4 linked regions of the Callithrix jacchus genome follow. The protein of the gene in region 2 interacts with the protein of the main gene of each other region in a pairwise test. Links are inferred from orthologs where the notes say so. Each region holds a gene or a part of one and is shown on either strand. Other genes may lie near its edges.

Region 1 (6,122 bases), on a different chromosome or scaffold from region 2:
AAGATGAGTGAAAATAAAAATCATTTATCAGGCTTTGAATTAATCAGTTCTCTAGCTCTCCTTTCTGTTTATACTTACCACAAAACAAAGTGGACAGAGAAAAGGTTGAAAGGAAAAAGTAAAACAAAAATGTAGGGAAGACTATACAGATGTAATCCACAATTCTGACTAAATAAAATTACTATTTTTAAATTCAGATACTTACCCAGGAGGTAGAGGTTCTGGTCTATCCCATGTTGTTCTTTTCTCAACATGATCTACATAGTAAACTCGTCCATGCTGGTCCACTCTCTGCTCCCAACTTAAACACAAAATTAAAAGGCTCATAGGACACTTGCATGAGTTACTTGGCTTTTAAATCCTGTCTCTGCCTTTTTCCCTTAAATGACCTGAACTAAGGCAAATAAGGTTGTCAGTTTAGAAAGATGATACAAATACAATTTAGGAATAAAGGGAAGAAATGTAAACATCAGAGGGTGGCACACAATGAATTCAATTTCTTCTATGCAAGTATCTGCTCTAGGAGAAAACATGTTTCTAAAGAGGCTTAAGGTCGGTCTACATAGTAAACCAAAATCACTCTCAATCAGAGTACAGTCAGGATTTGACTGGAAAGGAACGGCCAGGCGCAATGGCTCATGCTTGTAATCCCAGCACTTTGGGAGACCAAGGCAGGCACATCACTTGTCAGGAGTTCAAGACAAGCCTGGCAAACATGGTGAAACCCCATCTCTATCAAAGATACAAAAATTAGCTGGATATGGTGGCAAGCACCTGTAGTCCCAGCTACTTAGGAGGCTGAGGCAGGAGAATCACTGTAACCTGGGAGGCAGAGGTTGCAGTGAGCCAAGATTGCACCATTGCACTCTAGCCTGGACAATAGGGCAAGAATCCATCTCAAAAAAAAAAGAAAAATTAGCCAGGTATAGGTGGCAGGTGCCTGTAATCCCAGCAAATCTGGATGGTGAGGCAGGAGAATCACTTGAACCTGAGAGGTGGAGGTTGGAGTGAGCCAAGATCCCACCATTGTGCTCCAGATTGGGCGACAGAGCAAGACTCCATTTCAAACAAACAAACAAAAAAAGCAAAATAAAAAACAAAAAACTACACTTGAATATCTTAAAAATAATCTTAAAATAATCAGTAGAGATTAAAATGGGATTGATTATGAGCAGAAATTTTCTCAGTTTTCTGAATTATCTATCATTTTGCGATAATGATTTACTCTGTTACAAAGGCTAAAGTGCAATTGCGTGATCTCAGCTCACTGCAACCTCCACCTCCCAGGTTCAAGTAATTCTCCTGAGTAGCTGGGACTACAGGTGCCCACCACCATGCCCAGCTAATTAGAGTACTTTGAGTAAAGATGGGGTTTCACCATGTTGGCCAGGCTGGTCTCAAACTCCTGACCTCAGGTGATCCACCTGCCTCAGCCTCCCGAAGTGCTGAGATTACAGGCATAAGCCACCATGCCCAGCCTATAATGATTTTATGATGAAAACAAAATTTGATTTTAAAAAGGGATTTTCCCCTTCAAAGAAAAAGCAACTAGAATTAGGTGATTATTTTATTAATTGGCCTTGGTTAACATTCAGGGTCCTTTGGTGAAAAAATATATTTTTCCACTTTGCCCCGAAAACAAAAGACAGGGTTTCAAATATGGTGTATTTTCCTTGTTCATTTTGACTCCAGATTCCCCCAAATCAGTTATAACATAAAAACAGTTGGTTGGGTGCAGTGGGTCATGCCTGTAATCTCAGCAATTTTGGAGGTTACGGTAGGAGGATCACTTGAGGTCAGGAGTTTGAGACCAGCCTGGTCAACATGGTAAAACCCCATCTCAACTAAAAATACAAACATTAGCCAGGCATGATAGCCCACGCCTATAATCCCAGCTATTAGAGAGGCTGAGGCAGGGGAACTGCTTGAACCCAGGGGTCGGGGGTTGCGGTGAGCCAAGGTCTCACTGCTGCACTCCAGCCTGGGAAACAGAGCAAGACTCCATCTCAGTTACTGAAACAATGGAGTTTACTATTATTTTCCTTGTTAGTAAGTATATGAAGTAGCCAAAAGCCTAAAGACAATGTATGTTTAAAGTTACTCACCCGGGTGGCAAGGGAGCTTGAGTTACAGGATTTAATGGCCTAGGGCCTGAGCCTCCAGATATAGTAAGGGGAATTATTAATCCAGATGTTGCTCCTTCAGATGTATTTGTATTTGTATTTGTATTTGTCATTGGCAGAGAACCTGTACTAGACCCATCACTTTCAGAAGTGGTAGATGGTGAACCATTGACAGATGCTATAAAAGATTTGAAGAAAATAGGAAAAGAACCTTTTATTTTCTAAAATTCAGGATAGAATTTTAACTGTAAAAAATAAAAAGGCAGATGATAAATATAAAACTTAAGATTTGGATACACAGGTGAAAATTACTTAAAGAAATAATAAGAAATAATCAATACTCCCTCTTAATAGGCTTGTTTACTTCTTCGGCCCTGTCTACCCCTACATCCCATTATTAATTACAAGGCATGTGAATATTATCTGAGGAGATAAAAATGTATAGAAAAGCATTAATATTCCTTGGTATTTTAAGTTCATTTATTAATTTTCCAGCTCCTTAAAACTGCTTTCCTATGAATCCCTGCAGATTACAGACCAATTTTTGATGTTGGTTATAATGTGGAAGGTCTGACTGATAAACAATAATCTTCTTACAAATAGTTACTAGTCATGTATTACATCTTTAAGAAATACTTGTGAAAACAATGTCTATAGGAAGTCACCAATATTATAACTAAGACATCTTAAAGATTCAGAACATACTGTTAACCAAATTACCTATAAAAGGGGAAGAGGAGGCTGGGCTCAGTGGCTTATGCCTGTAATTCCAGTACTTTGGGGCTAGGCATGGTGGCTCATGCCTCTAATCCCAGCACTTTGGGAGCCCAAGGTGGGCAGATCACCTAAGGTCAGAAGTTTGAGACCAGCCTGACCAACATGGAGAAACCCCGTTTCTACTAAAAATACAAAATCAGCCAGGTGTGGCAATGGGTGCCTGTAATCCCAGCTACTCGGGAACCTGAGGCAGGAGAATTGCTTGAACCTAGGAGACGGAGGTTGCGTAAGCTGACACTGTGCCACTGCATTCCAGCCTGGGTGACAGAGTGAAACTGACTCAAAAATCAATCAAACAAACAAAAAAGGCTTGTTTGTTGTGTCATTTTTTATTTAAAATCTGAATCATTTAGCACTGTTGGGTTATTTGTCATTTACTAACTTTTTAAAGAATATACTCGGATTAAGCAACCAAATCCTTGACTACTTACTTAATATGTTTATGTTACAGTTACAAACCATGTAAGAAATGCTATTGCAATGTTATCTGTATTGCCTATATTTTATATTATGCACATGTCATTTTCATTCTCAATAGAGCACTGCCTCAGTAATGTCACTCTGACCCGAAACTTAGGAAAAAGGCACTTTTGGTTACTACAGAAAGATCATTCTTTGCCAAAATCTTAAATGCAAAAACACACACAGAAAACTCACCGAAAAGAATTTCCTGAAACTTACCTGAGGATTAACTGCCAACCAGAACATTATTTATTAGAGTACTGACAGCTGGAATACAAACCTGGTCTACGTGGGGTAGGTGGTGGTGGTCGTGAAGGTCTTGGAGGTCTAGAAGGTTTAAAACCGCCATTTGAGAGTGATGGAGAACTATTCCCATTGGCTCTCCTATTTTCACCAGATCCTCCATCTTCAGGGTCATCTGATCCATTTGTGCTCACTCTGGGTAAGAAGACGGGAAAAGGAAGGGGGAGAGAAAAATAATAAATACCCTTTGAATTTAAGAAAAAAACAGCAAGAGAATGAAAACTTCTAAGATTTTAGGAGCTTAAAAAAAGCTTTTTAAATTTTGGTCAGCCTTATTAAATACATAAAGAGCCTCTGGGTAGAATCCTACACAACCCCCAAAGTTCATCTAGAGATAGAGTGAAGGGTTGTCCAAGGGCATAGAAACACTTGCAGCCGTTCAGAACTATTAGATATGCTGGTTCGTATTTCAAATAAGCCTTCAGGAAGCCCTACATAAACAGGAATAAAGTCAAGTTCTCAAAATCCTTAAAAAGGGCACTACTTTATCACAAGCGCAGATAACTTTACCATTGTTGTTTTTTGGTTTCTATTGGCTATTTATTAATACTCAAGTTTGAGGCAGGGCTGATTTTCCCATGCTAGAACAAAGTGCATGTATTTCCCAGGGACTAGGCCCTGACATCCCCACTCAGTACAATGGTACACAAAATGTTCAAAGCTAGTGATATAGAGTAGAAGTAACCACAGACCATTTTTTTAAGGAGCTGTCATTTATTCAAAGCAATAACATCAACTGAAGGGACAGAAAGGAAGGAAGAACACTAACAGGAAATATCGGACTGAAAGCTACTGCTACTGTTGGCTAAATATAGTTGATTCTTTTTCCTCCCAGAGGGGTTCTAGTCATGGATTAGAAACAAGGACATAAGTAGCCAGTCTGCAGATGTCTCAGCCAAGGTTCTTGTATGTACTACCTCCAAACCACTACACAGTACTAATCCATACTACTAGGAATTTCAGAATAAGCCTGAACAAAATAAAACCTAATAGATTCAACTAACAGAGGCTGAGTGCTGTAGCTCACACTTGCAAGTGCAGCACTTTGGGAGAATGAGGTGGGAAGATCACTTAAGCAAAGGAGTGAGAGAAAAATAATAAATGCCCTTTGAATTTAAGAAAAAAAACAGCACGAGGATGAAAACTTCTAAGATTTTAGGAGCTTAAAAAAAGCTTTTTAATTTTTGGTCAGCCTTATTAAATACATAAAGAGCCTTTGGATAGAATCCTATGTAACCCCTGAAGTTCATCGAGAGATTGATTGAAGGGTTGTCCAAGGGCAATGATTTATTTTTAATAAAAACTGTATAGATGATATTTTGATATACATAGTGAAAAAACTTACTACAGTCAAACTAATTAACATCTCTCTCTCCTCACATAGTCATCTTTTTTTTAGACAGAGTCTCACTCCATTGCCCAGGATGGAGTGCAGTGGTATGATCTCAGCTCACTGCAACCTCTGCCTCCCAGGTTCTAGCAGTTCTCATGCCTCAGCCTCCTGAGTAGGTAGGACTACAAGCACCCATCAACGTGGCCAGCTAATTCTTTTGTAGATTTTGTAGAGATGGGTTTTCACCATGTTGCCCAGGCTGGTCTTGAACTCCTGACCTCAAGAAATCCACCCTTCTCAGCCTCCCAAAGTGCTGCGATTATAGGCATAAGCCACTGTGCCCATCCTCGTAGTTTAAGACATTTTCGAACTATGTACCACAGAAATCCTTTAGGGCCCTTCTATTCCAAGTGTGGTCTTTAAACCAAAAGGACAAGCACTATCGAGGAGCTTGTCAGAAATGCACACTCTTCAGAAGTATTCTGGACCTACTATATCAGAGCTAGCATTTTAATAAGATCCCCAGATTATATATATGGACAGTAAGGTATGACAAGCACTGCTTTGAGGGTTCCCTAAATGCTTGTCTTTAATAGATGGAACACCTCAGTAATTGACAGTCAGTACCTGATTAGTGTTGACTACCTGCAGAATATGGTCTGAAAAGAGTCAGTTTTGACACTGCTTCCCTTCCTTTAAGTAAGGTTTCCAAACCACTTTAAGACTGCATATTGCCTCTCCATGCTATTTTAAGAGGTTCCTAATTAGTTTGAAAGAAGAGTTCTTGCTGCTTTTTAAGTAACAGATGACAACTAGAATAAACCAAAAATGGGAAAATAAGGTTTCTAGCTCTGACTCTGCTACTGTTGAGTTATGTGACCAATGAATGTCCCCTAAAATGTATTATCTTGACTACAAGATTCCTAAAAGTCGTTAAGCTAGAAAAATTCATACTAAATTGCACATCTAGTGCTAGACAAGTTTTAGGGAAATGTGAGGGAGGGGGAACATTCAGAGCATGAGATAAACCTACCATGATAAAGGTACAGCAGATTCCCAAAATGCTATGATTAGTTGTTGGGAATTAAAATTTGAGTGATTTTAACATCCATGCTGTGCATCAT
Region 2 (6,842 bases):
TGCCCCCACTGTCCAGATCCTAACCCACAATGCTAATGAGCGGTAACAAAATGGTTGTGTTGACTGTTTAGGAGTGGTGTGTGGCTTGGGGTGACCACTGCTTTTACGGAGCAGTGGATAACTGGAAAAGATGTCCAACCTCACTAGAAATTAGGGAAAACCCAAATGATCTACCATTTCAGTCCATCGGATTGACACACATTAAATGTCTCAACACAGCTAGGCATAGTGGTTCACACCTGTAATCCCAACACTTTGGGTGGCCAAGGCAGGTGGATTGCTTGAGGCCAGGAGTGTGAGAGCAGCCTAGGTAACATGGTGAAACCTCGTCTCTACCAAAACTACAAAAGATTAGCTAGGTGTGGTGGCATGTGCCTGTGGTCCAGCTACTCAGGAGGCTGAGGTGGGGGGATCAATCGCTTGAGCCCTGGAGGCAGAAGTTGCAGTGAGCCAAGATTGCACCACTGCATTCCAGTCTGGGTGACAGAGTGCGACCTCATCTCAAATAAATGTCTCACCAGGCACAGTGGCTTATGCCTATAATCCCAGCAATTTGCAAGGCCGAGTCAGGTGGATGACCTGAGGTCAGGAGTTCAAGACGGGCCTGGCTGACATGGTGAAACCCCATCTCAACTAAAAATACAAAAATTAGCCAGGCATGGTGTGTGTGTTGGCCGGGGGGTGGGGGTGGGGGTGTTCTGGTGTCTGTAATCCCAGCTACTCAGGAGGCTAATGCTGGAGAATCGCTTGAACCTCGGAAGTGGAGACTGCACTCCAGTGTGGACAACAAGAGCGAAACTCCGTCTCAAAATAAATAAATAAATGTCCCAACACATTGGAGAGGAGGCAGAAAACAAACACTCCTTAAACCAGTCAAACTGCAGACAGGTATGGGTCCTGGCAAAGAGTGGGGCAGATCTGTAATTTCCTTGTGCATACCAGGAGACCCAGAATTCCGCTTAGAATCTCATGCTATTTAACTGGGAGCCTCACACACCACTGCTCATACTAGCAAGGCATCACTAAAACCATCATGGGACACCTGACTTCACAAAAACAAACAGTATCCAACTGACCCTTGGGTCATCCTACATGGCCAGGCTCTGCGATCTTCCCAACACCCATGCAGAGAACCCGGTTTTGCACATACCCCAAGGCTCTTTTGGATGACTCTGCCAGAGTGAGCAGCCTCCAACCACTGTCCAAAGTGAAACCTGTCCTAAGCTGCCCATGCTCTCCTCAGTAAGAACAGGGGAGGCACGGGACTCCCACACAGCTGCCAGCTGCTTCCTTGCCAAAACACCTGGAGCTGCTCCTCCGCCTCTCAGCAGCTACTTCAGCTCGGGCTGGGTGAATTCCCCAGGAAGCCCATTGTCACCGGCCAAACCAATGGCAGCAGCCATGTTTCTCTCTTTTAAATGGTCAAATCAGGCAGGACCATAAGATGCAGTTCTGCCCACAGAGAAGTGAGAGCAGTGCATGGGGTCCATTGTGAGGGGTCTCCTTGCTGCTGGAGAGGCATGTGTCCCCACTCCCTCTTCTTTCCAGCTTGCAGACTGCTTGTGATGGTAGCACAGGCTGAAGGGAACCTAGCCTTTCGAAACAGGAAAGCCTCCGGGCAGGGCTTGGCTGCAGGACTGAGTGGCTCAGCGGCAGTCACCTAGTCAGTGTGACTTCTTCCGCCTTCTGGACTTGAAGGTTGTACCTCTTTGCAGGGGCCCTGGAGCCCCATCCCTCCTCCCTCATACAGGTTCAAAAAATGTTTCCAGCTGGGCGCGGCGGCTCAAGCCTGTAATCCCAGCACTTTGGGAGGCCAAGGCAGGCAGATCGAGAGGTCAGGAGTTCAAGACCAGCCTGACCAACATGGTGAAACCCCATCTCTACTAAAAATACAAAAATTAGCTACACATGGTGGCGTGCACCTGTAATCCCAGCTACTCAAGAGGCTGAGGCAGGAGAATCGCTTGAACCCAGGAGGCAGAGGTGGCAGTACGCTGAGATGGTGCCACTACAGTCCAGCCTGGGTGACCAAGTGAGACTGTCTCAAACAAAAAGTTTCCTGGCTGGGTGTGGTGAGTCACACCTAGCACTTTGGGGGGACTGAGGAGGGTAGATTTGCCTGAGCTCAGGAGTTTGAGACCAGCCTGGGCAACACGGTGAAACCCCATCTCTACTAAAATACAAAAAATTAGCCAGGTATAGCAGGCATATGTGTAGTCCCAACTACTCAGGAGGCTGAGACAGAATTGCTAAAACCTGGGAGGTGGAGGTTGCAGTGAGCCAAGATCACGCCACTGCACTCCAGGCTGGGCGACAAAGTGAGACTCCGTCTCTTAAAAAAAAAAAAAAGGTTTCCTGTGTTCAGATGCACAACCAACGACAAGCTGTTGGAGGCTGCAGGCTGCTTTGATTCTAAGGAAGATCAAGATTGGGCCGTGTTCTCAAGTAACCACTGGAACTTTCTTCTCGAGCTGAGGCCCCTAGCTGTTCAGCAGCCCTTCCCTTGTACCACCTGCACTTGGACCATGAAGAGCCACCCACTCCTCATCCTCATCCTCATCTCACAGGCCTCACCCCTGCCACGGAAGCTGTGACCTGTGAGCCATTCCCCTCTCCTGTTTCCAAATCTGTATCATGAGAGTAATAACCGTACCACTTTCCAGGGTGCTGAGGGTGAGTGAGGCTGGCCCGTGGGACCCAGAGAATTGCATCGGGCCCACACATGAGCACTCCAAGAGCCACTGTCAGCCCTGGTCACCCATCCCAGTAACAGCAGAACATGGGGTGGTCCTGTCTGACCCCCAACCCTGGAATGGGCCAGCCTGGGATACAGAAAACTGCTCCTTCCCAGGCCTCCCTCTGCATCAGCCCTGAAGGCAGCCTGTGTCCATGTCTGGGTGCTGATTGTCACCAACACTCATCAGACAGAATCAGTGAGCAAGCCCTGGGGCCAGGCAAGCCTGCTGTCCTCCTGGGGGTGGAGGGCCTCCCTACTGGCTCCTAGCAGGACAGAAAAAAACATCCTTTGAATGAGGAAAAGAAACCAGGGTCATTCTGTTCCCATCCCCGGCAGGGCCGGGGAAAATTCCCGAGGGGCCTGGGCACAGCCCTCCACCACACTTCCAGCAGCCTGAATCATCAGCTCTCTGGCCCATCAGGGCCCTTCTACTCCCTCGCTGATGACCCTCCTTTTTCTCCCTCACTCAGACCATCCTCTGTGAGGTGGGACCATCAGCCAGGGCTCCCTCAGCTTCTGGGCCATCTGCCCAAAGTGCTGGCATTACAGGCGTGCACCACGTCCATGCATCCACCCATGCAGCCCAGGGGAGCCTGCCCACTCAGGCCAGTCACGCACCACAAGGCCATCCTTTCCCTGTGGTCAGCAATAGCCTTCTCGCCCCAGGGGAGGGACGGCAGGGCAGGGTGCTCCCCTCAGCTAGGATCCAACCCACCTCACCTCACACCTCACCTGTACCCAAGGGATACGTGTGCTATCTCTGCCCTGCCACAGCCACACCTGCACCCCCCAGACCCCAAACGCAAGGTGCGAACAGAGAAACGGAGGCCATGGGGTCAACCCAGGAAGCCCAACAGGCCCAGGAGCCTGACAGAAGCGCCTACCACCTGGCTTCTTCCCGGGATCCACAGCCTCAGGCGGGGCAGGGGCGAGGGCAGGGCCACAGCACCACCACCTGTCGCAGGCGGCTGAGGACGGAACGAAGGCTGTGGGTCCTCGGCAGGCACAGCGGTGCTGTCACCCACGCGGAGGCCCAGCGGTCAAGGTCCAGCGGGAAGCGCAGGGGCAGCGGCTTAGACCAAGCAGCCCAGGTGGGTCCCACAGGAGGCCGAGGTACAGAAGCCCCCGGCAAGGACGCGGCGCTCACAGCCAGGGACCAGGCAGAGGCCTGCGCGGAGGCCCCGTGCTGGGAAAGCAGCCTCACCTCGCGGGCCTGCCTCACCTCCAGGGCGCGCTGCCAGCGGCCACTGCAGCAACCCGATCCCCAGTCCGGGAGTCCGCCTCGGCAGGGGGCCGGCCCCGAGGCCTGCGAGAGGGGGACCGGGGCGCGGGGAGCCGCAGCAGGTGTCTGTGCCCTGCCGGGACCGCACGCCCGGGCCAGGAACCGCTCTGCAACGGGCGCGCGGGCTAAGGGAGCCCGGGTGCGGGAAGGTGCCCAGCAGGTGCGAGCGCGGACCGGGAGGGTCCCAGGCCTGCGTGCGCCCCGCTCAGGGCGGCTTCACAGCGGACCCGCTTCAGGCCCTGGCCTCAGGCCCCGCCGGAACCCCGCTGCCCCTCGGCGAGAAGGCAGGAAGAGCAGACGCGGAAGGGCGGCGCCGCCCACACCTCCCCGGCGCCGCCAAGCCCGCGCCCCAGCAGTCCCGGGCGGCGGCGACAGCGACTCCGCGGACCCAACCCCCGGCCCCGCGACGGCAGCCGCTTCCGGGAGCCCCGGCCCCGCGCAGGTGCGGCCAACGGCCCTCCCCGAGGACCCGCGCCCACCTCGGAACGGCAGCGGCGCCCCCAGGCGTACGCGCACGGTCCCGGCCAGAGGCTCCCCGGGGCTGTAGACGACGCGGCCGTGGCTCAGGCTGATCTCGAACAGCTGCACTCGCCCCATGCCGCGGCCTCGCCGGCCCGCCGCGCAGTGACGCCCCCGCCGGCGGCCAGCGGACAGGGCTCGGAGGCCCGGCCCCGCCCCCCTTATGCCCCGCCCCATCCAGGCCCTCCCGGCCCCGCCCAACCCGGCCCGGCCCCGCCCCGCTATGTCCCGCTCCATCCAGGCCCTCCCGGTCCCGCCCAACCTGGTCCGGTCCCGCCCCCCTATGTCCCGCTCCATCCAGGCCCTCCCGGTCCCGCCCAACCTGGTCCGGCCCCGCCCCCTATTCCCCGCCCCATCCAGTCCCTACCGGCCCCGCCCAACCTGGCGCGTCCCCGCCCACCCCCGGCCGCCCCCTCGCACGCGGGCTGCGGCTCGGAGGTCCGGCCCCGCCCCTATTCCCCGCCCCATTCCTCCGCGTGGCCCTGCCCCCGCCATGCCCCACCCCACCCCGGCAGCCCTCATCCATCCCAGGCCCAGGCCCGGGCCCGCGCCCCCCTGGGTAGTGGCCACGCTGCGTCGGGCGCCACTTAAGGGACTTGCGGCGCAAGCGACCCCTGCGTGCCCCACTGAGGGAGTCATCGCCGCGCCTCTGTCAGGGGGCGGGGCGGGGGACGGGGAAGGGGCGGGGAGGGGGCGGGCCGAGGCGAGCTCTGGGACTGAGGAGGGCTCCCCGCAGAAAACCCACGGTCTCCGCCCCCACCCTCTGCCCGCCCCTTCATGCATTCTTCATCAACCCAGGTCGCGGAAAAACGTCTCGGGGCCGCGCCGGCGTCCTGGGCCGGAGGGCTCCGCCGCCTACCACCTGCCCGGCCTCGACCCCCACCCCCGGCTCCTGCCCTGCACCCCCCGCCTTCCCCGCACCTACCCCGCGTCCCAGCACCTGCCCCGTCCCCGGCACCGCCCTCCGACACCTGTTCGGCGCCTCTCCCCCACCCGGGCTTCCCCCCACCGCGGTCTTCCCCGTACCTGCCCCGCCCCCCCGTTGGCCTGATGGGTTGCAGGGCCCAAAGGAGCCACACTTGGACGGGGCGGGGGTCCGCAGCAGAGGGGTCAGGGGCCAGGTGGGGCGGGGACTTGGATTACTTGAGACCCGGAGGAACACACTCCGATTTATCTTTTTTAAAGGTCCCTTTGTAAAGACTGAGCCGCCGGGGGTGGGACTCAAATACCCTGGGGACCTAAGTGGGGAGAGTCCCATTGGATAGTCCCAGAGAGAGAAGGCGGCCTTTGCCTGGGACCAGTTCACCATGGAGTGGGTGAGGCGGGCCCCACTGCTGCGAGTTTTTCTAGGACAGCAGGCGAAGAGGGTGGCCTTCTCTGATGGGGAGGACGGGCCTAGACACACGCGGTTTGCAGGTGGGAGAGTCATCACATGCAGAGTCTGAGGTGCCACTGATCCCCAAGTGGACCAGCTACTTCCGTGAATGAGCCTAGGAGCCAAGCACTAAAACGTTGCCATCTCTGGTTGGTAGAAGGTAACAGGTCAAGGAGGAGGAGTTTGGCACCCCAGCAAAAGGAGAGTGGCTCACAGGCTGTAGGAGCTCCCCCCCACCTGCCCGGGCCTGGATGGAAGAGACTCTGAAGCCCCAGTCCCAGCTGGCTCCCTTGGGATTCTGATGTTTCAGGAGGTGAGTCTGACTGGCCATGATCCAGACACTTTCCTGACAAGACTATACACAGGCAGAATTCCCGAACAAGAGAGAAGAGTGCAGTTGAATGGCAAGGATTATGGACAACCCCCCCGGAATGGCAGTCAGCCATGCCAGAAGTCAGAAAGAAAGTGTTGGCCGGGTGCTGTGGCTCACGACTGTAATCCCAGCACTTTGGGAGGCCGAGGTGGGCTGATCATAAGGTCAGGAGTTCAAGCTCAGTCTGGCCAACATTGTGAAACCCAATCTCTACTAAAAATACAAAAAATTAAGCAGGTGTAGTGGCGTGTGCCTGTAATCCCAGCTACTCGAGAGGCTGAGGCAGGAGAGTTTCATGAAGCCAGCAGGCAGCGTTTCAGTGAGCCAAGACCACACCATTGCACTTTAGCCTGCACCACAGTGCAAGCCTCTGTCTCAAAAAACTAAAAATAAAAAAGCCAGGAGTGGTGGCTCACACCTATAATCCCAGCACTTTGGGAGGCCAAAGTGGGCGGATCACCTGAGGTCGGGAGTTGGAGACTGGCCTGGCCAACATGAAGAAACCCAGTCTCTACTAAAAATACAAAATGAGCTGGGCATGGTGATGCATGCCTGT
Region 3 (6,122 bases), on a different chromosome or scaffold from region 2:
TACCTCAGCCTCCCAAAGTATTGGGATTACAGGCGTGAGCCACCCTGCCCAGTAGTAAAATTGCTTTTAAAAAAACATTAACAATAACTATCAGGCCAGGTGCAGTGGCTCACACCTGCAATCCCAGCACTTTGGGAAGTCGAGGCAGGTGGATCACCTGAGGTCAGGAGTTCGAGAGCAGTCTGGCCAACATGGTGAAACCTCACCTCTACTAAAACTACAAAATTAGCTGGGTGTGGTGGCATGTATGTGTAATCCCAGCTACTTGGGAGGCTGAGGCAGGAGGATCACTTGAACCTGGGAGGTGGAGGTTGCAGTGAGCCAAGATCATGCCACTGCACTCCAGCATGGGCAACAGAGTAAGACTCCATCAAAAAAAAAAAGGGAAAGAAAAAACAACTATCACTGGGTGCCGTGCTCTACAGGGAAATTTTATTTTATTTTGTTTTATTTGTGTATCTGTGCTTTTCCATAGTTTACAGTCTCTATAATAACTTTTGCTAGTCAAAAGCAAAAGTATACTGGCTGGGCAAATGAAGAAGAAAAAAGGACGCTCATGCTGGTTGCTGCATCCTAATGTGAGGCTATCCTCAAGTATATTTCCCAAGTATCGCAATAAATAGAATTTTCCCTTATGATCAAATTACAAAAGGCTGGCTAGTGTTCAGGAAAATAAACACCAACTCAGAAGACAAAGCAATCAGGGAGTTCTCTGCAGGATTAAAAGGAGGCGCATCTCTGGTCTTCAACAATTCCTCAGGCCAAAGTGGGTTCAGCACATCTCTATGTACCCAGCAGAAAGGAAAAGACTAGAGGAGGCTCAAAGACCTTTCAAGTGGCCCATCGCTTAAAAGGACAGGCTTGGAAAGAAAAGAAAGACTCTTAAATCAATGCAACACGCTCACTGGGACTCAACGCTCCCCACCCCCGCCACTCTCTTAAGCTACATCCACTTTCAGAAAATACTTTGTAGACATCGAGAGAAAAAGGAGCCTTTCTTTCCATGCCATTCATTCGCCACATATGGTACCGCTCTGAATAGAGTCTTTATGAAGGAGGGTCCAAAACCACAGCCATGGGCCATGCCACTGACCACAAACAGCAATAAATAGATGAGGATTTATACGTCCATGATGTACAGGCATGCTGGCTAATTCAGACGGCGTTTCCATCACATTCCAACGTCCAGTAAATGTTTACTGAATGCCGAGTAAGCACAGGGCACTACTTGTAACACTGTCCCAAACAGACACACACGTGCACACACACACACACACATGCACATACACACACATGCACACAGCTCCTTTGTTCTGTTTTAGGGTTCAGGCTAGAAAAGCAATGATTTAGGTTAGAGGCATTTGACAGTTTCATTCAACATATTACACATCTCCCGCATTGGGAAGAGGAGCAGAAAGTTTCCAGTCCCTAAGGAAGGATCAAGGGTAACACACCACTGCATCCCACTAATAGAGGACCTGGGCAAAGAGAGCTAAACTCTGCAAGGAGGTAGAGAGGAGTCCTCAGCCTTCCTAAAACTCCAAAGACGGCATCCAAGGAGAACAGAGGTACCACAGCCCCTAGTCCTGGGGAAATCTCCAGCATCAGGTTCATCTGCCAGGTCCTCCCATCCCCACCAATGAATCACGTCGGCATCCCATTCATCATACATACTTTTGCCCCCATTGTTCTTCAAGACATTGGAGAGGTTGACAGACGCGGTGCCTAGCAGTTCATTTCTCAAGGTATGGCAGCTCCAGACCTTTAAATCCAAATGACTCTGGGCCGTGACATTCCTGGGAAACAGATACCTGATTCACTACATCCAAGCAATCATTCCTATAACTTAGAAGAAAACAGTTAAACTAAACTGCTGACATCTTGGGGAGGGGGAATCAAAACAGACAGATACCCACATATATCCCTGCCCCCCTCAAAGCTGACCCTGTAACCCTCTAGCTAATAATGAACGCTCTATGAGCTCAATGGTGTAGGAACACCTAAAGAGAGGCATCTTGGGTACCACAGGCAGAAAAAGTCAGAGGTACCGCAGGGAATCTGTACCTCCCACAACCCCCTCGGAGCACCCTCTCTCTTTCCCCCATCTTACTGCCCGCAAAAAGAAGCTTTTGCTTACAAAATGATGATCTCATTCCAGAGCAGCTCAGAGCTCCCAATGCGCTTCCCAGTCTTCTTGGTCTCGCTAGGGAGTCCATCCACTGCCACCTCCACGTAGGAGTTAATTCGAGGTTGACGATTATGCACCTTGGGCTTTGCAGACACCACTGGGTGAGAAAGAACGAAAAAGTCGAAGATGAGTCCCAGGGCTCCCAGATGCCCCCCTGTGGCAGATGTTCCAGCTCTTTTTCATTGTTTCTTTAAAAAAATAAATCAGTAACTTTTGTTTTGTCTTGATTTTAAAAACTTTTTAAAGAAAGGTGAGTACACACACACAAAACAATATGAAATATAAGAAAAAAAATCATCCCTAACCTGAAACCACTGGGATAACCGCCGGTGACCATCATTACCAATTTATCATTGGGAAATTGCCTTCTAGATTTTCATCTTTTATTTCTTCAATTGTTTAAAAGTTCTTCACCCCCATAAGTCAATCTTAAACGACTATAATACAAGCCCATATTCTTTCACTTTTGAATAGACTTCTTGCAATTATTCACTCTGGGGAAATTATTGTGAAAGTATACATCCGCATGCCTTTCTTGAGTATTCCTCCAAAGGACATGAACATTTTTAATTTTTTTTTTTTTTTTTTGAGACGGAGTTTCGATCTTGTTACCCAGGGTAGAGTGCAATGGCGCGATCTCTGCCTCCTGGGCTCAAGCAATTCTCCTGCCTCAGCCTCCCGAGTAGCTGAGACTACAGGCGTGCACCACCATGCCCAGCTAATTTTTGTATTTTTAGTAGAGACAGAGTTTCTCCTTGTTGATCAGGATGGTCTCGATCTCTTGACCTCATGATCCACCCGCCTCAGCCTCCCAAAGTGCTGGGATTATAGGCGTGAGCCACCGCGCCCAGCCGACATGAACATTTTTTAAAGTTCTTAAAACTGCCCATTCCTTTCCAAGAAAGGTAAACCCATGGAGCCCCCACCATCAGGGCTACACCAGAGTATATTCAATTTACCAGAGGGCTACACTTTTTCACTTTTACAAATCACATGAGTTAAAAACACATAGTGTAGGCCAGGGGCGGTGGCTCATGCCTGTAATCCTAGCACTTTGGGAGGCCAAGGCTGGCAGATTGCCTGAGCAATGGTGAAACCTCATGTCTACTAAAATACAAAAAATTAGATGGGCATGGGCACCTGTAGTTCCAGCTACTCGGGAGACTGAGACAGGAGAATCACTTGAATCTGGCAGGCTAAGGTTGCAGTGAGCCGAGCTCATGGCACTGCACTCCAGCTTAGGCGACAGAGTGAGACTCCGTCTTCAAAAAAAAAAAAAGCAAACAAACAAAACAAAACACATAGTGAGATAATAGCTAAGGCTGGGCATGGTAACTCATGCCTGGAATCCCAGCATTTTGGGAGGCCAAGGCAGGAGGACTCCTTCAACCCAGGAGTTCAAGAGTTTTAAGAACAGCCTGGGAACATAGCAAGACCCCGTATCTAATAAATAAATAAATATTATATATATGTAAGACAGAGTTTCGCTCTCATTGCCAAGGCTGGAGTATAATGGCGCGATCTTGGCTCACTGCAGCCTCCCGCTCCTGGGTTCAAGTGATTCTCCTGCCTCAGCCTTCGGGCCGGGATTACAGGTGCATGCCACCACACCCGGCTAATTTTTATATTTTTAGTAGAGACGGGGTTTTACCATGTTGGCCAGGCTGGTCTCAAACTCCTGACCTCAGGTGATCCACCTGCCTCAGCCTCTCAAAGTGCTGAGATTACAGGCGTGAGCTACCATGCATGGCCAATTTATAAATTTTAATTGCAATAAAAATAATATTTAAGATTTTATGAGTACTTACTAAAGACACTCTGCCATGTGCATACATTTTCTAACTGAATTCTCACAACAAACCCATGAGGCAGGGAATACATTATCACCCCATCTTACCCAGAAGAAAACAGGCTTGAGAGGCGAGGTCATTGCCCCAGGCTATATAGCCAGGGAGCCACAAGCCAGACTGTGCACCTAGCCAGCCTGATTCCACACCATGCTGCATATCATTATTGAACTTTACTTATTTGTTCTATTGTTGCTCTGTGGAATATTAGATTTAATTTATCTAATGTGAAATATTAAGAAGATTATCTTTATTTCCATTAAAAGTTACAAATTGGCTGGGCATGGTGGCTCACGCCTGTAATCCCAGCACTTTGGAGGGCCGAGGTGGGCCGCTGAGGTTGAATATTTTTTCCATGTGTCGTTAGCCATCTATGTTTCTACTTCTGCTCATAGCCCTCATGTGGCAACAATTCTGATACTCATTTGGGACCAGCAAACCAAAGACTGACTCACGGAGCACAGAGCTTAGCAAGCATCATGATGAGGAGCTAGATAGGCATCCTAGTGTACATCACCCAAGGTGGAAACACCAGGTCGCCAGGGTGAAACACATCTAGACATCTCCCATCCTGCCCCAAATCAGAGATACAACTGATGCTCCCTTGCCCATGATGGCAAGACTATGCTAGCCTGAGCTTCCCTGTTTGAGTATAAGCAAATCTCTCCCTTCCAGACTCTTCGCAAAGGTGACAGTCCTACAGTGGTGTCTACAACTCAGCAAAGGCCAAATTCACCTTCAGATTTTTTATAGCAGTAACTGTCTTCTCCAGGCCCCAAAGGAACAGAAGGGAGGAAGTCAAGAGATTTTTAAAAATCAGCTGTGGCTAAGATTCAGAAGCGACAAGGGGACAGTACTAGGAATAAAATTTTGTGATACTGAGGCATGGCCCAGGGTAGAAAAATGAGGCGCAGTGATTAACGCACGGACCAAGGTTAACTGAGGCCACCTGGTGGTAAGAGCATGGATCTACATGCCTTTAAAAAATGGAGACTACAAATGGTGCACGACTTAGGGCGTTTGACTTTACAATGGTGGGAAAGGATATGCATTCAGTAAAAAACCGCACTTTAAATTTTGGATTTTGGTCTTTTTGCCGAATAGTCACATGCAGTACTCTGGGTAGAGGCAGTGAGCCCAAGCCCCAGTCAGCCACGTGATCATGGGGCAAACAACTGATACTCGGCCATATCCTGCTTTTCCAGATCATCTCACCTAGCTGCAGGTTATGGAAGTGTCCTCGGCTAATTCAGGTATCCTTAGCACATTTAGGGTAGGCTAGGCTGGGCTATGACACTCGGCAGGTTAGGAGTGTCAGATGCATTCTCAACTTGCAATATTTTCAACTTAGGATGGATTTTTCAAGATGTAACCCCACTGTAAGTTAAGGAGTCTCTGTGCTCATACACATGCACATTTTTTCCTGAAACTCTGAGAGTAAGCTGTAGACGTTGTGCCCCTTTACTCCTAAACACTTCTGGGTATATTTCCCAACAAACACATTTTCTAACATAACCAATAGCACAATGATCAAAATCAGGACATTTAATGTTTTATAATACTAAGATCTAATCTACAGACTTTATTCACGCTTTGCCAATTGTCCTATCAATGCCCATCATAGCAAAAAAAAAAAAAAAGCAAGAGAGCAAAGGAGCAAGAAAGAAGGAAAGAAACAAAGATTTGTTCTGGTGTGGGTCCCCAACTAGGATCGTGTATGTGGCATTTAGTATTCTTTTTTTTTATTTACTTTTTTTTTTTAAAGATGGGGTTCCACCATACTAGTCAGGCTGGTCTCGAACTCCTGACCTCAGATGATCCACCCACCTCAGCCTCCCAACGTGCTGGGATTAGAGGCGTGAGCCACCGCGCCCAGCTAGTATTCTTATTTTGAAGCCGAGTAATCCCAGCTCTTTGGGAGGCTGAGAATCACTTGAGGCCAGGAGTTTGAGACCCACCCAGGCAACATAACAAAACCCTGTCTCTACTAAAAATACAAAAATTAGCTGGGCATGGTGGGGCAACACAGTAGTCCCAGCTACACAGGAGGCTGAGGCACAAGAATTGCTTGAACCCGAGAGGTGGAG
Region 4 (6,122 bases), on a different chromosome or scaffold from region 2:
TAAGTCTGGCAATTAATGGATATCTAGTTTAGAGATAGGCATTTGGGAATTCTTGGCACACAGAGAGTATTAAAAGTCTATATGATTGTTTATAATCACTATATAAATTCATTCCTTATGAATTCTGGATATTAGACCTTTGTTGGATCCACGGTTGTTTAATATTTTCTCCCATTCTGTAAGTTGTTTGTTTACTCCCTCTCTTGCTGTGCAGAAGCTCTTTAGTTTAATTACGTCCTACTTATCAATTTTTGTTTTTGTCGCAGTTGCTTTTCAGGACTTAGCCAGAAATTTTTTTGCCGAGGATAATATCAAGAGGACATTTCCTAGGTTTTATTCTAGGATTTTAATAGTTTTAGTTCTTACATTTAAGTATTTAATCCATCTTGAGTTAATTTTTGTGTATGATAAGAGGTAGCACTCTAGTTTCATTCTTCTGTATATGGGTAGCCAGCTAGGGGATCACATTTGGAGGAGACAAACATCTAAACTATACTACCAAGTTAGAGGATAAAGAATTTAATAAAGTCAGAATATAAGGAATATGAGAGCAATGAGCTTGAGTTGGAGAGAGGAAGAAATTTATTTAGCACACGTACCAAGTAATAGAAAGATTACCCATAATAAGATTATATGGATTCAGATGCTAGTAGTGAGCAGATATAGTAGAATATACAAAAGTTCTCTTCTGGTTGTTTCTGTTTCCCTCAGTGAAATAGAAAGTAAGGTCATCAACTCAGAATGAGTGGGGAGAAGTAAATATTTGAGGAAAGAGGAGTAGGAATGACATAGTCATCTAGGAAAGTAGGAGACTGAATGCAGTAGGGAAATGTGATTACCAGGAAATAGACCAGTAAGGAAATATGACTGTTGTTCATGGAGCAGTCATCTTGATTGTTTATGCATTTCTAGCATGTTCCATTGCCTAGATACAGGCATTTAGTAACTTGAGAGTTGAACTTAGCTAGGCTTGGGATTTTGCTAGAAATACACTGGTGGAGGTAGGGTTTGAAGGGAATTATTTTTAATGATTGACTGTGGAATCTAAACTGAGTAAGGGGAGATATAACTTCATGAGGGGGCTAAGGTATAGTGTTAATAGCTTCAGTGGATGTTTTAGTTTTCCAAAGTTGCTAGGAGTCTGGGGCTTCCCATGCTGGTTATTGTGAATAGGAGTGAAGGCACAATGGGGTTAGTCCTAAAAACCTCACAGGCAATGGTGAGAATAAGAAAGGAACAGGAGAGTGGCCTTTTCAGGTGCACAGGGCCCTTCTGCACTCCTTATCCAATTAGGTTAATTTAATTTATAAAGCATTTGGGAAGATTGAGGCAGGGTATGGTAATTAATAGAAGTCCTTTATCACCCTATACAGTTTTTGATATATATATTATAGCTATGTGTGTAGTAATAGAAGTCCTTTATCACCCTATACAATTTTTGATATATATTATATAGCTATGTGTTATAAAATAGATTTTGTTTTAGCTTTTTCATACCTAGCATTTTATATATTTTAATTTTCATATTTTATGTCATTCACTTATTCAAATCTTCATTTACTTGTAAAGTGTCATGATTTTTCTGTTATCATTGTTTTCTAAGAAATTGTTATTTTGCAAATTTTATTATAAAATGCTTTATTTTTCTTTGCAGGCATTATTTCATGGAAAGTTTATCGATACTGGTTTCTCTTTACCATTCTACAAGCGTATGTTAAGTAAAAAACTTACTATTAAGGATTTGGAATCTATTGATACTGAATTTTATAACTCCCTTATCTGGATAAGGTTTGAAGATTTTTGTTTTGCAATAAGCCATTTTTTTTGAAACCCATTTTGTTTCATTTTGTTAATTATTGTATATATATTTCACTCAGAGATAACAACATTGAAGAATGTGGCTTAGAAATGTACTTTTCTGTTGACATGGAGATTTTGGGAAAAGTTACTTCACATGACCTGAAGTTAGGAGGTTCCAATATTCTGGTGACTGAGGAGAACAAAGATGAATATATTGGGTAAGGTGATATACCATATTAAGCTTAATTTCTAGAACATGTCAGAACTAAATCCTCTGTCTGTAGCCTTAATTGCATTCCCTTTTCACACTTTTGGGAAGTTCTTCTCACCAGTACCAATGTTCTTAAAAAAAAGAGAATCTATGTTGACCCTCATTTTCCCACTGCCATTTGCTGTGACCATTCTACCATTTCCTTTTCCATATCATTTCCCCTTTTTTAACTTAGGCTTTTAAATAGTGTTCACTACAGCCTCTTTCTTGAAACTCTCTGTTTTCTTGAATTCCGTGGATCCTATGTCATACTGATTTTCTTTACTTTCTTGTTTTTTTTTTTTTTAATTTTGTTTTTAGAGAGGGTTTCACTCTGTCACTCAGGGTGGAATGGTGGCGTGATCATAGCTTACTGCAGGCTTGACATCCTGGGCTCAAGCAATCCTCCTGCCTTAGTCTCCTAAGTATAGGCTTATACTACCATGTCCAGCTAATTTCAAATAATTTTTTTTTGGTAAAGACAGGGTCTCATTGTATTGCCTAGACTGGTCTCAAACTCTTGGCCTCAAGTCATCCTCCTCCTTCAGCCTCCCAAAGTGTTGGGATTACAGGCATGAGCCACCACTTCTGGTCACTTGCTCTTTTTTAATGGCAGTTTTCTAAATCTCCTATTTCTTAAATATAGACCTTTTTCCAAGATGTTATTGCAATCTGCTTCTCTAAATAATTTGCTAACATAGCATCAATTTTCTGTTAAAGTTATATCTAAACTTTAGAAATAATTTCCATTTGCCAGCCAGGTAAATCCAAAGATTTTCAGGAAAGAACCAGGCAGTAAACTTTTTAGACTTATTTCAACTACTCAGCTCTGTGGTATAGTGCAAAAGTAGCCATAGGTAGTGTATAAACAGATGTGTGATTGTCTTCCAGTAAAACATTTATAGACACTGAAATTTCATTTTATATAATTTTCATATCCTAAAATACTTTTAATATTTTTTTAAAAATGCAAAGGCTATTCTTAGCTCACATGCTAGACAAAAAAAAAAAGATGATTAGGCCCACAGGCCATAATGTGCCAACACCTGAACTACAGATGACTCTTAAATGTAATGTGTCTAAAATCCAACTTTTCATTTCTCCTAGCTGTTGCCTCTTACTGATTTCTTCTATAAATAGACTACCATTTTCACCCTCTTAGATTCTAGCTGTCATCTGTCTCTTTCAGATTCTTTGTTTTTTATATTTGTTTTGAAAAATGGATTGGATTATACACATTACTCTGTAGCTTACTTTTTTTCGTCTTAAGGACAGTACAGTTAAATCTAACTTATTTTCTAACAGCTAGGTAAATTGTGGTGTATGTATTCTATACTTTTCAGCTATTCCTGCCAATAGAGATCATTTAGGTTGTGTCCAGTTTGGGCCACTGCAAACAAGACAGCAGAAAACTTCCTTAAGCATGAATCCATACATCCTGCTAGTTAGTTTTGTGGGCTAGATTTTTAAGAAGTGAAGTTACTGGATCAGAATGCTATGTGGCTTTATAAAATGTCATAGCCATTCTTTTTTCCCTTCTTAACTTGTAAATTGCTATGACCTTTCAAATTTACATCCTTAGTGTATCTGCTTACTAAGTTTAATGTACCCTTCTTAGCTTGGCATTCTCAGCCTCTTCTTTTTTCTGCTAAACCAGAAAAAAGTGAGAGAAATTACCAATAACTGATTTCTTCTTTTATACCTTTGTACTCTGTTAGGTATTTTTATTTTGTTTTGTTCTCCAATGTGCATTTATTATGCTAACTGGAAAAAAACAGGAACACTATATTTTGAGGAAAATATATTCACAAAGATGATACATAAAGCACTGGACTTTCTATATTTGTTAAACCTGAGACTTCCACAAAGTCGAACAAAAATAAATAACACAACCTGAGCAGTTAAAAAAATGCTATCAGGGCTTTCAAATATCAAAAGTGCTCTAAATAAAATTTTACCATGTAAGATTTATATTTACTTTCTGTTAAGCACTGTTTCAAGATATTTTATCACTTTAATACTATTGATAGCTAATCATGAATGCAGTAGTTTTTGGAAGATTTTGTTTCAGTCTCAATAACAGACTTCAGTTTCTTTAATCTTGCTCTTGAAAATTATGTGATAACACTCTAGTTGTGATTTTTTTTTTTTTTTTTTTAGTGCACAAGATAGGCCATCAGTGAATCTATAAGTAAATGAATGGTAGAAATGGATATGAAGTACTACTGGAATCCAAAGTGGGAAGAGAACTATTATTTCTGCTGGGAGGAATCAGGAAAGTTCTTCATCGGACACTGTGTATTAAGTTAGGTCTTAAAAGATGCATGGGAGGCTGTTGGCTCCTGCCTGTAATCCCAGGACTTTGGGAGGCTGAAGTGGGTAGATCACTTGAGCCCAGGAGTTCAAGACCAGCCTAAGAAACATGGCAAAACCTCATCTCTACAAAAAATAAAAATAAATTAGCTGGGCATGGTGGCGTGCACTTATAGTCCAGCCACTAGGGAGGCTGAGGTGAGAGGATCACCTGAGCCCACAGAGGTCAAGGATGCAGTGAAACCAGGCAAGAGTGAGACCCTATGTTAAAAAAAAAAAAGAAGATACATGAAAGTTTGCCTTCTAGAGGGAGATGTTTTTGGGACAGGGAAAACAGGAAGAGCAGAATTGATGTTTTAAGGGGATTCGTTGATGGTGAGAATTAGTGGCTATAATGGAGCCTACAGTGATAGCCAGGTTTAAAATTACCTTGGTTTAAAATTTGGTTGAATAGAGGTGAGAAAGTGAAAACACTGAGTATGTTGTACTCTTATAATGAGTGTGGTGGTAAAGAGAGGAGAGAGTAATTTTAAAAAGACACTGGGTTAAAGGGTTTTGGGAAAAGAATAGTCTGAATACCTATGTGGACAAATGGGAAGAAAAGTTGGAGTTGAGGATATGGGACAAAGAGGGTTTAGTAATTGAAGAAAAGTTTTGGAGGCAGCCTTAGAAAAGCATAAGGCCAGCTTCCTCTAGGAAACAAAAAGAGTTGGAAATGGGAGGAGTGTGAATAGCTTGGCTTTTTTTTCATCTGCTATAATCTGTGTATGAAGTGGTGTATGTTGCTTCTCTAGGAAGACCTTTCCAGATCCATCTCCTTTTGGAATCCCCTTTTACAGACTTTGTGTCATACAGATTTTCTTCCTTATTTCCTTTCTATCATACTTCCCTGCTCTTACAGCTGCTTTATATATGTCTCTTTAGAATGTTTTGTTTCCATCTTAATTGAGTTCTTCTGTTCTAGTTAGGAAATCTTCATATTCTCCAAAAAACCATAAACAGGTAAAGAACCTGTTCTCCAGCCTTAAGTCCTCAGACCGTAAACCTACACCAGCACATGGCTTGTTGACATATGGTCATTGCATAGTGAGATAATCCCTTGCCTCCCTTGAGTCAGAGTCCTCAGGTCTGTCATGGCAATGCTTGTTGTAAGATGAGCCTATTAAATGACTAGCTATTCCCTTCCCAAGTGAGCACATGATATTTGTACTTATTTGTCTCGATATAAACAGAAAATAATTAGTGCTAGGATTTGGCTGTCTTACTAGTGAAAAACTTCCTATTTATTTTCTTTTTTCTGTTTTTTTTTTCCCTGACCTTTTTATTTTAAAAGCATCCTTTTTAATAGCTACCTATGTGCTAGAACTGATTTCCTCAAATGTGTTAACTCTAAAATTATATACATGCATACACAAACACCTCACATTTACATATGTGTGTTGTGCATATATATGTGACATTTAGAAAAAGAGAAAGAGCTATAGAAGTTCTTGGTGTTTTTCAGTATTTTACTTCACATATAAATTACCTATTTTTAAATACCATCTTTATTTTCAGTTTAATGACAGAATGGCGTTTTTCTCGAGGAGTACAAGAACAGACCAAAGCTTTCCTTGATGGTTTTAATGAAGTTGTTCCTCTTCAGTGGCTACAGTACTTCGATGAAAAAGAATTAGAGGTTAGGCTCTTTTATTATGCTATTGTAGGGAATGTTAGTGGGGGGAGGGACTAATTTTGTGCTTTTACAGAACAGTGTTCA

The links.
Region 1: the proteins of ARRDC1 (region 2) and ITCH interact in binary tests that used the Homo sapiens proteins (3 or more experiments, as listed by UniProt). The link is inferred for Callithrix jacchus from reciprocal best matches to the Homo sapiens genes ARRDC1 and ITCH.
Region 3: the proteins of ARRDC1 (region 2) and WWP2 interact in binary tests that used the Homo sapiens proteins (3 or more experiments, as listed by UniProt). The link is inferred for Callithrix jacchus from reciprocal best matches to the Homo sapiens genes ARRDC1 and WWP2.
Region 4: the proteins of ARRDC1 (region 2) and WWP1 interact in binary tests that used the Homo sapiens proteins (3 or more experiments, as listed by UniProt). The link is inferred for Callithrix jacchus from reciprocal best matches to the Homo sapiens genes ARRDC1 and WWP1.

The regions. Positions count from the first base shown.
Region 1 is NC_133506.1:4,853,799-4,859,920, forward strand, and holds part of ITCH (E3 ubiquitin-protein ligase Itchy homolog), read right to left. Parts: intron 3,801-6,122; coding exon 3,643-3,800; intron 2,302-3,642; coding exon 2,106-2,301; intron 302-2,105; coding exon 206-301; intron 1-205. UniProt on the Homo sapiens protein: Acts as an Acts as an E3 ubiquitin-protein ligase which accepts ubiquitin from an E2 ubiquitin-conjugating enzyme in the form of a thioester and then directly transfers the ubiquitin to targeted substrates.
Region 2 is NC_133502.1:185,956,366-185,963,207, reverse strand, and holds the start of ARRDC1 (arrestin domain-containing protein 1), read right to left. Parts: upstream 4,646-6,842; 5' UTR 4,617-4,645; coding exon 4,499-4,616; intron 1-4,498. UniProt on the Homo sapiens protein: Functions as an adapter recruiting ubiquitin-protein ligases to their specific substrates. Through an ubiquitination-dependent mechanism plays for instance a role in the incorporation of SLC11A2 into extracellular vesicles.
Region 3 is NC_133521.1:27,374,742-27,380,863, reverse strand, and holds part of WWP2 (NEDD4-like E3 ubiquitin-protein ligase WWP2), read right to left. Parts: intron 2,286-6,122; coding exon 2,138-2,285; intron 1,797-2,137; coding exon 1,675-1,796; intron 1-1,674. UniProt on the Homo sapiens protein: E3 ubiquitin-protein ligase which accepts ubiquitin from an E2 ubiquitin-conjugating enzyme in the form of a thioester and then directly transfers the ubiquitin to targeted substrates.
Region 4 is NC_133517.1:40,635,282-40,641,403, reverse strand, and holds part of WWP1 (NEDD4-like E3 ubiquitin-protein ligase WWP1), read left to right. Parts: intron 1-1,654; coding exon 1,655-1,788; intron 1,789-1,877; coding exon 1,878-2,018; intron 2,019-4,210; exon of another isoform or gene 4,211-5,920; coding exon 5,921-6,041; intron 6,042-6,122. UniProt on the Homo sapiens protein: E3 ubiquitin-protein ligase which accepts ubiquitin from an E2 ubiquitin-conjugating enzyme in the form of a thioester and then directly transfers the ubiquitin to targeted substrates.